Oryzias latipes: one gene and its partner. The protein of the gene in region 2 binds, or shares a complex with, the protein of the main gene of each other region. Links are inferred from orthologs where the notes say so. Each region holds a gene or a part of one and is shown on either strand. Other genes may lie near its edges.

The links. The genes of interacting proteins can lie anywhere in the genome.
Region 1: pigp (region 2) and dpm2 share a complex: the UniProt entries of both Homo sapiens proteins name them as parts of the glycosylphosphatidylinositol-N-acetylglucosaminyltransferase (GPI-GnT) complex. The link is inferred for Oryzias latipes from reciprocal best matches to the Homo sapiens genes PIGP and DPM2.

The regions. Positions count from the first base shown.
Region 1 is NC_019870.2:30,338,734-30,345,214, forward strand, and holds dpm2 (dolichol phosphate-mannose biosynthesis regulatory protein), read left to right. Parts: upstream 1-2,014; 5' UTR 2,015-2,202; coding exon 2,203-2,301; intron 2,302-3,714; coding exon 3,715-3,804; intron 3,805-3,880; coding exon 3,881-3,983; intron 3,984-4,078; coding exon 4,079-4,134; 3' UTR 4,135-4,299; downstream 4,300-6,481. Other genes in the region: proteasome subunit beta type-7, read right to left, coding at 5,699-5,810, 5,924-6,075. UniProt on the Homo sapiens protein: Regulates the biosynthesis of dolichol phosphate-mannose. Regulatory subunit of the dolichol-phosphate mannose (DPM) synthase complex; essential for the ER localization and stable expression of DPM1.
Region 2 is NC_019877.2:8,246,650-8,253,269, reverse strand, and holds pigp (phosphatidylinositol N-acetylglucosaminyltransferase subunit P), read left to right. Parts: upstream 1-2,824; 5' UTR 2,825-3,080; intron 3,081-3,159; 5' UTR 3,160-3,162; coding exon 3,163-3,244; intron 3,245-4,240; coding exon 4,241-4,313; intron 4,314-4,426; coding exon 4,427-4,545; intron 4,546-4,862; coding exon 4,863-4,978; 3' UTR 4,979-5,460; downstream 5,461-6,620. Other genes in the region: rexo4 (RNA exonuclease 4), read right to left, coding at 67-155, 258-451, 1,491-1,637, 1,710-2,029, 2,143-2,358; putative nuclease HARBI1, read left to right, coding at 5,755-6,442. UniProt on the Homo sapiens protein: Part of the glycosylphosphatidylinositol-N-acetylglucosaminyltransferase (GPI-GnT) complex that catalyzes the transfer of N-acetylglucosamine from UDP-N-acetylglucosamine to phosphatidylinositol and participates in the first step of GPI biosynthesis.

The DNA of each region.
Region 1 (6,481 bases), on a different chromosome or scaffold from region 2:
ATCCCGAGCTTTGAGCAAAGACCGCACTGTTCCATCAAACCATGGTTTCTGGTTTGGGTAGACTTTGATGGACTTTGTGGGCAGAACAGCATCGGTGCAGAACAGCACATAGCTCAGGACGGATGTTGTGTAGGCCTCCAGGTCTGAGCCATCTTTAAACACCTCCCAGTCAGTGAGTTCAAAACAGTCCTGTAGTGCAGAAGAAGCCTCTTCGGTCCATACCTGAACTGTTTTGATGGTTGGTTTGGTCCTGCAGATCAGAGGTCTGTATGTGGGGGTTAGCTCCACAGAGATGTGATCCGACATGCCCAGGTGAGGAGCTGCTGCAGCCTTGTATGCACCTGGGATGTTGCAGTAGACTTGATCCAGTGTGTTGTTGTCTCTGGTGGGAAAGTGAATAAACTTCTGAAATTTGATGGATGGATGGATATATGGATGGATGGGTGGCAGTGGCTCAGGCAGATGAGCAGGTCGTCCAATGATCGAAGGGTCGTTGGTTCGATCCCCTCTCCCCCCAGCCAACTGTCGTGTCTTTGGGGAAGACGCTTCACCCTCCCTGCCTCCACTGGTGCATGAATGTGCATGAATGTCCTGGTGATGGTCAGAGGGGCCGTAGGCGCCAACTGTCAGCCACGCCTCTGTCCGTCTGCCCCAGGGCAGCTGAGGCTACATCAGTAGTTACCATCACCAAGTATGAATGAATGATGGACTCACTGTTAACGCTTTGAGCGTCTGGAAAAGCAGATCAATCCATTATTATTTAGTCTTAAGTATTTAAATAAAAAGTAGGGTAACATTGACGTAGAGCAACTGTCAACTGTCAACTGGCTATGTTTTGACTATCTTATTCAGATTCATTTCTCCACGCAGGTCAGTTCTTGCTTTACCAAACTGACTTGGATGGTTCATTTTTCAGACGAGTGAATTCTGCTGGCAGGATCAACCCGGTAGCCCCAGGAGTTGGCAGTAGGGCGGGCCAACCCAGGCCAGGCCTCAACTAGGGCAACAGTTCTGGATTGTGTTTCTATAGTTTTTTTACTCTAATTAAATAATGAGTGATGAGCAAATACTTAGTGGTCAAATGTCTTTACCGTCAGATCTGTAGTTTGTTCTTAATGAATGATCTTTTTCAGCAGCAAAGAGCATTTATCACTGCAGGAACATGAATGCATCAGTGTCTGCAACATTTGCTCTTGTTTGCACACCAACTAGCTGGTCTAAACATTGGGACTGCATTGTAAATTAAAAACATGTATTTTAAAATCTTTGAACTCAAAAGCAACTTTTCTGAACTGTATCGCTGAACTATGTATTTATTTAGCGGAATGTCGACACTTAAGCTCTCTGAAAATGTATTTGTTTATTTTTTTAAACAAATCTTTGTTCTTGATGATCTACTTTCTGACCTGGATTAAAAAAAAAGGTTCATCATGTACGGATTTCTGTTTCTTAGAGATTTGTTATGAAAGTATTGGATAGTTTTTATTTCATTATTTTGAATGTGGATGAGCGGGTTCTACTGGTAGGAGTGTTTACCAGTAACTACCATTTCTTTAGTTTAATCAAAAAAGTGATGACTCATATCACTGCAGAAGCGTTGTCCGGTCCATGACTCCTGGATGGTCCGGTCCATAAGTCCAGGGAATAATGTAGCTTTGCCTGAGGATGACCACCATGACTAAAGCCGATCTCTTGGAGCCAGATTGTCGTGTTGAAGTGGGTTAGTGCAGAAAATGGATTTATGGAATATGAACGTTCCTGTGAGACTCCAGCATGAATCTCAACACAAATCCTAAAGTCATAAAAAATATTCCTTTCCAAATGGCCAGGATGTCGAAACGCCAACTGTTTGCTGCTTCAGGAATCCCACAAGACAGAAAATGTAAAAAACAACAAAATCAGGCGGGACGTTTTTCTATTTGTCATGTTACTCCAGACCAGCAGGGGGCGGTCACGGGACTTTCTCCTGCAGCTGCAGCCGGACATAAACCAACCGGAAAAACGGAGGTCACGTGGTTCTACCGCCTGTCAACAATGGTGAGCGGCGTTTAAGTAATTTATTTTATAGGAAATCCCTTTACAAACATGATTTTACGGGGATAAACAGTCGCAGTGGTTTGACCTTTACAGGCCGCCGTCATGAAGAATTGTGCCTAAAAGCAGGTTGAAGTTTCGCGTTGAGCTCTTGACGCTTAAGGCTTAATGACGATCCGCGGGTCCCTAACCGGGTCCCTAACCGGCCTTCAGAAGAACGACAGGAATGTTTTCTCCTCACGGGAATGCGGACAAAACGGACGTTTGGTCTCTGACATTTTTATTCACCGCACATGAAAAAACGCTGAGATTGAAGCCGCAGCTGTAGTCAGTTTGGCCTTTTTCATTGTATTTATTTACTCTGAAGTTAGAAGAACATCCCACAGAAACTTTACCCAATGAGTTCTATCACTAGAGGAGACACACCCGCTTGGGAAGCCTGGCCGACGGTGGCGGAGCGCGACGCCATCTTGGTGAGGTCGTCAGCGCCCACGTGACAATGATTTCTATTGCCTTTAGTGGCATCTAGTAGCTTTTATATATATTTATACCTATATATAAATATATATGTATATCATTTATGTATATGCATCATTTGTTTTTAAATAAGAGAAACAGGCAGCATTAAAAGCTCAAACTTTAATGAAAAATGCAGAGTTGCAGGACTTCTTACAAAAAAAATTATTACAAAGAATTTTTAAAAATAATTTTTAAACATGTAGAAGTTTTAGACCTCTTTGAAACGTAATTTAAATTATTTAGAAAAGCCCAACAATAAGTCAATAGGAAGCCAATAATAATAATGAATAATAACAATATATACATAAGTCAATAATTATAATAATAATAAATAGTAATTCAATAATAATAATAAATTATAAGAATAAATCAATAATAAGTCAACAATAAGTCCAAAAGTCAATAACAGATTTACCCTGAAAAAACAAAGAGAAACAATAGATTAACTGATTCATGTTAGTGATCAGTTTGTGTAACACAGATTCCTTGGTGTCGGGTTTCAGGCTAACATTCTGGCCTCTCATCAAAGTCTGGTTCCACAAATGTTCTGAACATATCCAGACTGTATCACTAGTTGGTACCACAGTGATCCATCTGGGTTAGCTCTTTTTATTGCTAAGATCCACTTTTTCCTGAAGTCTGAATCTATTAGAAACCTGCAAGAAAAGTTCAGTCTGAGTCAGAAATGTATAAATCTATATTATTATAATAGCCTAGTCCTAGTATACTGTATATAGGTTTAACACAATAAAGTTTACATTTATGTCGACAGCAAATTCTCCGTACATCATGCAGCATGTTGATAACAGCCCTGCAGCATCATGCATGTCTACATGTGTTCTATTCATGAAGCCCCTCCAGCATTAAAAGAAAAACATTAAAATACTTACCTGTGAAATGTTCTGCCTTCCTGCTTCGTGGACTAATTTCCTCGATTTTGACAGTTGAAATCCGCACAATGAACTGGGATTTTGAGTTCACATGCTGAACTGCAGCAGTGACTTGACCTCACCAAGATGGCGGTGCTCTCCTCCCATGAAGAATCCCATGACGTCTCCTCTAGCGATAGAACTCATTGACTTTAACTGCTGCGGCACCCGCAGTCTGAGACCCGGTCCAAAGCTGGGTCACTGATGAACTTTTTCTGCTCTTGGTTTTCAGGCCACTGGAGTGGATCAGGCTGTCGGCATGGGTCTGGTTCTGTTCAGCCTGGCTCTGTTTTCGTACTACTCTGTGTGGGTCGTGGTTCTGGTACGTCCTGATGGAGCCTCTTAAATATCTGTAGGACAAAGGTGGACTCTAATACTGTGATTTGCACCAATTGCAGCCGTTCATGGACGGTGACCACATGCTGCAGCAGTACTTCCTTCCTCGTGAGTACTCTGTCATCCTGCCGGGCATTGCAGCAGTGGTTTTGCTCCTCATGATAGGTCAGTATGCCGTCTCATGACCTCATGACCCCGCTGTCTACACGTCTTCATGCCAGACGGACGCGGTGATCCTCTGGTTTTTGTCTTCTCTGCAGGGGCTTTCACAGCAGCTGTTGTGTGGATGAATCACAAGCCAAAGAAAGTGGATTAGTCCCACTTTCCATGGGAAAATGGAACTTTATAAAGTCACATGGATTCATTTTCCTCCTCTGGGAATCTTTTTGACAGAACATGTGCTTGGTGTTGTGGGTATGAGTGCTGGCTGTGAGTGAAGTCTGGGTTTCAAACTGAAAAATAAACCTTTTCACATAGATCACCCCGTCCTACAGATGTTTTAATGGTTGCCAAGCATTCTGCTGACCTCCATGATGCTGGGAGTCACTCGTTTTCAGTATCTACACTGTGTGGAGGCAGCATTTGTACACCAGATGAGTACGGTGGGTGGAGTCTTTAGGTGTTTCAAAAGTCTGAATACTTTTGTCATTTCTCACTAGTTTGGACTTTAACCCTCCTGATGGGCTGGATTCTTGTCTTGCTCCATGTTACCTAACTGTTTTCTCTACATCAATAAAATCACAAATTAAAATAGTAGAAAATCGGTTTCAACCATTGACTGTATAGAGAACTGGACTGATCGAGGGTGAGCCACCCGTAGAAAACACCTAACCCCCAGCTCCAGCTAAAGGAACCCGATTCAGTCGCCGTTTTTCCTCGATACGGTTGCGCCATGTTGGAGCCAGACGACAGTGGTTGGTGCGAGTGGTCGTTTCTATGGCAACTACTGTCGCCAATCAGAAGTAAGCTTGTTTGAAGTCCACACCCCTTCAGCTCAGGACCTGAAAGCAGCTCAGGAAAATCTGTCAAACGTTAGAGGTGGGGGGCAGCAGGCACCACAAGCTCTTACTGAGGGATCTGATTGGTCAGCTGAGATCTTGAATAAAGAAAGCAAATGAGGATTATTAAGAATATATTAACAAAAGGTATCAGATCCAGAACGCTTCTTCTGACCAATAGAATGACTGAGGAACATCTGGTCATTTCTATAGACATGTACGGGATTCTGGTTTCTTGGAACCAGCAGATACTTCCTGTTTGGAACGCCAGGGGGAGGGGCGTGCCCAGTCCAGGTCTCCATACACAGTCACTGGTTAACTCTTGTTCTATCCTAGGCACTTTACCATTGGGAGTTGGGTCATCTAGACCCACTAGACAGAGCTCTGAACCTTTTTTCTTCAATGATTTGTGATCTTCACTGGTGTCCATGGATTACATGAAATCTTTCCACCTTTATCCACCTTTGTCATGGTAGGGGGAACACGTCAATGGAAGGGGGGGTCATCTAAGCACAGGGGTTACGGCCTCACACCCTCATATCTAGAGCCGCCCACCGACACACCCAGAATCCATGAACAAAACCCGTAACTGTAACTTCAACACTTTTCACAGTATTTTTCAACTGTTTTGATTTTATTTGACTTCAGCGAAACAAACATGTTCAAATGTGCGAACAGAAGGATTCATACTGCGGCTCCTACTCTCCTCATGGAACGGATCAAGCATTTCACTTTGCGTGTTCCATTGGTCATGCTAACACAGATCCGTTAGATACTGCTGAGGACGAATGCCGGTAAGAAAAGGAGGTGATCAAATGTGAGCCATGTTCTTGCATGTACGGACGTCGTTGCATATTTGAACATGCCGGATGTAGACATTTTTTATTCAGTGTCCATCATCTGAACAGTTGCGTCGACCACGTCCAGACTGAGAGGAGTTTGGGTTTTGGTCAGGACAGGCGTAGTTCCCGGCTTGTACCTGTACTGTCCCTCTCTGAAAAACACAAGCAAGACACGTTTGCAGACACAGCACTGTTGAGTTTCAAACCCTTCTGCGGTAACCATAGCAACCACTTCTTCAATCATGAGGGCTCTAACTGTACCAACCTTTTCCCCTTCCCTGCTGGCCTGTCGTAACCTCGTAGGTACTCTGCTCCGGCCGCGGTGATGACGCACAAATCCACGTTGCTGCCCGAGCCCAAATCACAGAAGATCCCGGCAGTGATGGCGTCTCTTACCAGCCTCTTCGCTTCATCCAGCTTCATAGAAAAGAGATCACAGCAGCAGTGTTGATCCAAAAGTCCACCAGGACAAAGAGTCCATGACGGGACAGAACCGGTGCTGTCCCCACCAAACTAAACGTCAAAAGATTCAGGAAAAGAAAGGGTTTGGCTCAAATCCTCCTCAAAGAGACCCACTGGCAGACGGAGCATCGTTTGATCCCGACCCCTCCTCCTGAGGGCGTCATGTCAGAGTCCCGCTGGTGGTGGGATTTTCCTCTGCAGTGAGCCTCATGGAGCTCACGGTTTGTCTGCTTCCTGTTCACAGCCGCTGCATCTTTTAGCTTTCCTGCTCGTCCTCCACTCACTGTTTTAGATGTGGCTCTTTCTGTGCATCTGCTGTGAATCCCCCCCATGAGCTTTGCACCACAAAGACAAACGAGAA
Region 2 (6,620 bases):
ACTCTGTAAGAGGAGAGCTACAGCTGTTTTATTGGAGCACACATTTATTTTAAGGCAACACAATACCTTTAAGTCATTGTGAATTGCATGACCAACCACAATTCTTCCTTGCAGAATTTCAGCCACCTCCTTTTGCACAACATGCACATCCTCCCCTGTAAAAAAAAAAAAATCACATTTTGACACTGTTCAAAAGCACAGAGGATTGTTTGAAAGCAATAAACATCTAAGTATACAGTGATGTCTCGTTTTCTTACCATTTTTAATGTGTTCCGGTCGGATCCCACTGACAGCTGTTCTGTAGTCTGTCACCTTCTCTGTGGGTTTGACATATTTGTCATAGATGCATTTTCCAAACTGGTTCACGATGGACACACGTGCCAGGATGCTGTCCTCCCCATCTGGACCGACTCCCACCATCTCACAATCAATAGCTACAGCTTTGGTGATGCTGATATTCATACGTACAAACGTGGAGAAAACAAAAGGTCATCTAATGAAACAGTCCAGTCTTTCTGCTGCCCGTTTTAAAGTTTCTCCACAGAAATCACCTGAAACATTATTAAATCATTTTCTCTTTTGAGAGAAGTAAGAGAACATCTGATGTTATTGGGGTATAACTGACAACTATACCGATTTTTTCAAAAACTTGTTTAAAAAGGCAACGGCTGTTTTTCCAACTACTTCCACTTAGGGAGTCTGTTGGAGCCAGTCTGCTGCAGGTTGAGATGAGCATAAACTCTGCAACAGCTATGGCTGCATATTCATCAGGAAGCAATTGCGAAACAATCCGACGATTTTAAGACTCATACTTATGCCCAAAGAGAGCAACACACACGGGAAGTATCCCACTAGATTAAAGAGTTGCTAGGAATGGACTTTTTCAACACTTTTACACATCCGACCAAGAAAACAATGATGAAGAAGAGCAGCAGATGAGATTAAAACAATATACTATAATAATGATTGTTGAGCAAAAATTATCAAAAAATATCAGGACAAAAAGAAGGACTCCAAATTTGAAATATCTGGTTCTCTGTCAGCTTTAGGATCGATTTTAAGGTACTTTTCTTAGTTTAATGAAATTGCACTTTAATTTTAATCAAGCTGGTGTTAGCAGACGACCCTCCCAGAGCCCTCAGATCCAGTTATGCTGGTGCTCCCTGAGGTCATAAACAAAAACCCACAGCGAGGCCACATGGCAGAACTTTGGCCTAAACTCACCTTTTTAGTTTAGCTTTTATGTCGATTTTACATTTCCTCATGTTTTAATTTGATTTTATGGATTATTTTTTCCTGCTAGTTTTTGTACACAACATGTGTTTATTATAAATACTAATATAATTATTATTTATTTATGTAAAAGACTTTGAGGTGTTTTTTAACAGGAAAAGAGCTCTATAAAGAAAGGTGAATTTCAACTAGAGTTGATCGATAGCAAATGAAGGTGTGGCATTTTGACCGTAAGAACACAAAACAGTTTCTCTTACCCATCAAAGGCGTTCTCTTTTACCAGAACGCTATCTACGTTCTTGCTTGTTTTCATGCCTTGTTTCCTCCTCATGATCTCTGCAGCCTCGGCTCCCATCGTTTCCTCAATATCGTCAGGGTCGACGTCATCAAACCAAAGGTCCTCCCTACAGCAGCACAAGCAAAGATTACAAGGCAAACCCGAACTGAAGTCAAGTATTAGCAATAAGGATACATACTCTGTGGGTTTCCTCTCTTCAGTGACGGGCTTCTTTTTCTTGGCTGGTTTCTCATTGTCTGTCTTTTCGTTTTGCCTTTTCCTTGCACCACCAGGTTGCAGTTTGTCTAAGGCGGCGTGGATCTTTGCCTTCACCCCATCCTCCTTTGGGGCATCGCCACTTTTGACTTTTCCCTCTCTGTCTGTGTGCACCTGGCTGGGAGCAGGGCTCTTATTTTGAAACTTTTTAGGCTCATTTCCTTTAAACTTCTTAGGGAAGACACCATTCCGATGTTTTGGTGTAACAGGCTGCTTCTTCTCTGGCTGACTGCTCTTTAAGATCTGCCATGTTCAGGAAACAAAGAAGATAATTACATTTTAAAAGTAAATACATTTTCACATAAGTAGTTGCACAGCTTATGAAGAGCATAGAGTTTAATATTCGTCAGACAAACCTCTTGTAATGCTTTCCAGTTGGAAGAAAACTGTTGGGGATCCTGTGGTGGTGCAGTTTGCTTTGCTCCAGGATTTTCTAGATTTTTCTTGTTTAGAGTCTTTTGGGAAGTTTGTTTTTTACGATTATGCTTTATAAAAAACTTCTTCCTTTTTTCTTTGGACGTCAGCTGTTGCGTTTTTCCAGCAGGAGTTTCCTTTCCTTTGATTTTAGACATCGTGGTCGCACTTCTTTAAACTTCAGGGAGTATTTGCTGTGTTACACAGCCACGTTTTTGAAAGAAGCCAATTTTAGGTGAGATGTAAACGAAAACAGTTAACGCTGTGTCACATACATATGTATCCCAGATAAAGGGCACACACTGTTTCTATTAGCAAAAATAGCCACTTTATTATCCTCCCAAACAGGGAAAAATTATGTTTCAAGTTGTTTACCTTCACATTCACGAAGCCATGCTGCGGTGCTTCTGGAATGAGTAACAGTCAAATATGTTCGTCAGGAAAAAAGTAACATGATTCGTTCGAGCGGCAGAAAGTTCTCCCTTCGTTGATTTTTTTATTTCTTTCTTTTTTCAAGCTTGAAAATAGTTTTTAATATCTATACATTACTAACAAAGAACACAAGATTGATATGTAATTTTGCTTTATTTCTTTAAAGTCTTTTGTTCCTGATGTACAGTTTCTGACCGAACTCATTTAGGTGATGGACTAACGTTTTGTTGACAGCAGTCAGCTAGGTTTTGGCGTAATATGATTAGATGCACTTTTTACATTTTTATTTATGTTTCGTTTGAAATAGTAGAATTGGATTTTATCTATCGTTGAACCTAGCTGATGGTACGATATAAACAAGCTATTTGAGAAACATTTAAACTGTTTTTAGGGGTTTTTGTAAACTTGCTGCTCTTCTTACGAACCAAAATACACTTATTATCTGTCGGTAAGTTTAGTGACTTTTTGTCATTGTTTATTTTCGATTATTTTACCCAATAGATGGTCTGTTTGTGTTCTGGTTTCAGATCATGGTTGAAAACTCCCCATCACCTATGCCAGAGAGAGCAATCTATGGGTTTGTTCTCTTCCTTGGCTCCCAGTTTGGCTTCTGTAAGTTAAGTCCCATCACATCATGTTCTTTCAAATTAGAAGCATAGTTCTATTTGCAGAAGATGTCATTCAACGTAAAATGTTGTGGAATTACTTATCTCTACGGCTCTTGGTAATATAGCAAAGACATTCTGTTCCTTTTGTTTATGTTGCCATAAATCTAATCTCATTGAAATTTGTAAATGTGCAGGACGACTCACTTGAGTTAAAATAGAATAACCGTTTCTCGGTGGAGATTTAAATCTCCTTACTACTAGGGTGATAAATAGTTGACCACCTGAAAAACAGACTGCCATTAATTCAATGTGACTTCACTTAAAAAAAACAAGCCTTTTTGGATTTTTTTCTCAATAGAATTCTTTCAATAATTAGTTTTTTTTAAGTTATTTATATCTCAAGGTATACATTAGTAAAAGGTTATTGTGTTTATATATATTTTTAAAAATTCAGCTGAAAGATGGCAGGATGGTAGTGACTTAAATATTGTAAATTACTTTAAAACGCTAGTTGTGTGTTGTTGTTGTTTTGGGTAAAAAGTAGGATTTTTTTAATAGGCCTGTTATGTTCATATTTAGGCTTAAAACTACACAATTTAATAAGTCGGCAAAATTGTATTAAGCCAAATGAAGAAGTCTTGTTTAACTTTTAAATTGGATTGTCTTTTTCTCATTTAAAAGAAAATTCTTCTAATAATCCCAATAATTCTAAAAAGATTTCAATTTGGAATATCACATAACTCTGTTGCTTATAAATGAATATTTACACTTTCCTCAAAGGTTGTCTTTTTTATTGGTTGGATGGTCTTTCTGTATGAAAAAGCATCAGATTTAAAAATAAATTGAAATGAAAGGACATATGTTTATACATAAATGTAAGATAATGTAACAGAACAGAAGTAAAAATAGTTCGTGAACAATTTGAAAAAAAAGTCTATCCTAAAAGAGTATCAAAGAATTCTCTTAATAAAATATGTTTGTTCTGTTTCTTTTCCCAAAGTTCTGTACTGCTTGTGGGCATACATACCAGAGGAATGGCTTCATTCTATAGGGCTCACTTATTGGCCTCAAAAGTAAGTAGCAACAATATGACAAGTTAGAATTTATGTTTTATGTCTTTTTACAATGAGATTACCCTAGGCTTGTTAGCCTTTGTTTGAATCTTAAAGTGAAATGTTTGATGCAGGTATTGGGCTCTCGCAGTGCCAATATATATGCTGGTGGCAATACTGGTGTTTGTTGTGGTGTTATTTGGGGTCAACATGAGCAACACAGCCCCACTGGACTCTGTGGACAACATCACAGGTGAGTTTATGGCTGCAGGCTAACAGTCAGCGTAAATCACAGAAAAGCTGTTTGAAGTGAAATTATATTGAATTTTAAAAAAAGGAAGTAAAATCACTGCTAGGAGTAATACAACCGAACTAGCTTTAACATGCGCTAATTGCAGCTGCATTTTTCTAAAAAAGGAACTGTACCTCACATAATAAAAGCATATACTTTTAAAATAAATGAATACAAATAAGGGTGAGTAATTTATGTCAAAAAGGTCGGATATTATGTCAAAATTAAGAAAACACCACCAAGAAAACAGCTTTAAGTGTCTTCTTTGTGTCTTTTAGATATTTATGCACTAAAGCAGAGTGAAGAATGCCTGCAGAAGGGGGGAATACCTCGAATAAAGGATGTCTCCATCAGTGATGTCAACAAAATGTTTTATTTATCACCCAAAACATAACAGTCTGCTGCTGGGTGTTTTGTGGTTTCTCTGTTCATTTATTAATAATCTGGGGGAACCTTTCTGATGGTGTAATATGCCAAATCTGTTCGCTTTTGCAAATTTGTATGCAAAGTTAACAGGTCTGGTTAGTGGGTTTGTATGTAACTTTTGCACTGTGACTTTGCTATTTACCTTTTAAATTTTTTTTCTTAATTGATCAAGATGTTTCCATCATACCAATAAGAAAATATCACTTAAATATGTTCATTTACAGTATGTTTCAGTGCATTAAAGATGAGGTATTTTTCCACAAGATAAACTCAACTTTTGTTATTTTAGACAAAATAGATAAAGTTTCAAAGCTGAACCAAGTTGTGTTTATAGTTTCTGGCTAAACATAAAATAATATATATACTGTATATCTTGTTGTTTCATTGTTGCCTTTGTATTTTTGTACAATTCAAAGATGACAAAAGTGCATAAAAGATATTTTAAAAAAAGATTGGGGGTCCTATTTCCCTCCTTTTCTGTTTACACTTCATTTTATTACAAATAAGGAGATTTTTTGGTGTTTCATTTTGAAAATTGTCCTGTGTGTCATTTATTGTTATTGGCACAAAGATCTTTAAATGTACAGCAGGGGGCAGTAGTGAGTTTGGTGCTGCGTTTTGTTAACTTTATTGATAGACGAAGAAAAGCAATAACAGGGTGCTGCTCCTCTTCCAAGTATTCCACATTTTTGTTGTTTAGTTTTGTGCTTATTGTCTTCAAATACACGTTCCAAACAAACAAAAATGACGTTTGCTGTTCCGGTGTGGCTGGCGGTGCACGAGCTTCTCCTGGAAGAAGAAGCGGCGGAGAAGGAGAACTCGACCTGTTTTGACGAATTCAACGACGCCGCTTTGTTCGAATACTTCCACCTCACGCGGCCCTGCATCGCTTTCATCGTCGACGCCGTTCGAATCCGCATGAAAACGGTCTCCTGCAAGAAACCCTCGCCTCCGGTGGACGCGTTCGTCATGGTGGCTCTTAACTACTTCGCGCATGGCGCGTTCAGCCCGCTCGTGGTGCAGAAAGTGGGCTCGTGCCTGCACGCCAGCCTCACGAGCGTCGCCAGCTCAGCATCGGGGGTCATCGCGGGGATGTCGGACGTGTTCATCTCTTTCCCTCTCACCGCGGAAGCCAGGATTCAAAACGCCGCCGTCATTAAAGAGTTCTGCAAAATCCCCAACGTCCTGGGAGCCATGGCTCCTGCCCAGTTTAAGATCAGGGCTTCTCCGTATGAGAAGGAGTTCTTTAAGTCCTTCATCAACGCGCAGGGCTTCACGTCGGTGGTGAGCCAGTTCATATGCGATTCCCAGGGCAACATCCTGAGTGTGGAGAAATGCTGCGTAGGGAGCACTTCGGAGCAGGAACTCTGGGAGTCCTCATTCAAAGGCAGGGAGGTGGAGGAGGATCTGCACGGACCGTACTGGTTAATCGGTAAGACAATATGAGGAAGCACTTCTTTAAAGTCTGAATCACAGCTGATGCCCCCTAAAGAGATTCCAGCAAATATACACATCCCAAAACAAACTGTTTATTGAACTCTCTCTCTAATAATACCTCAATTATGCACCAAGTGCTCCTCTAAAGAATAAAAATGTCTAAAAGGAAAATC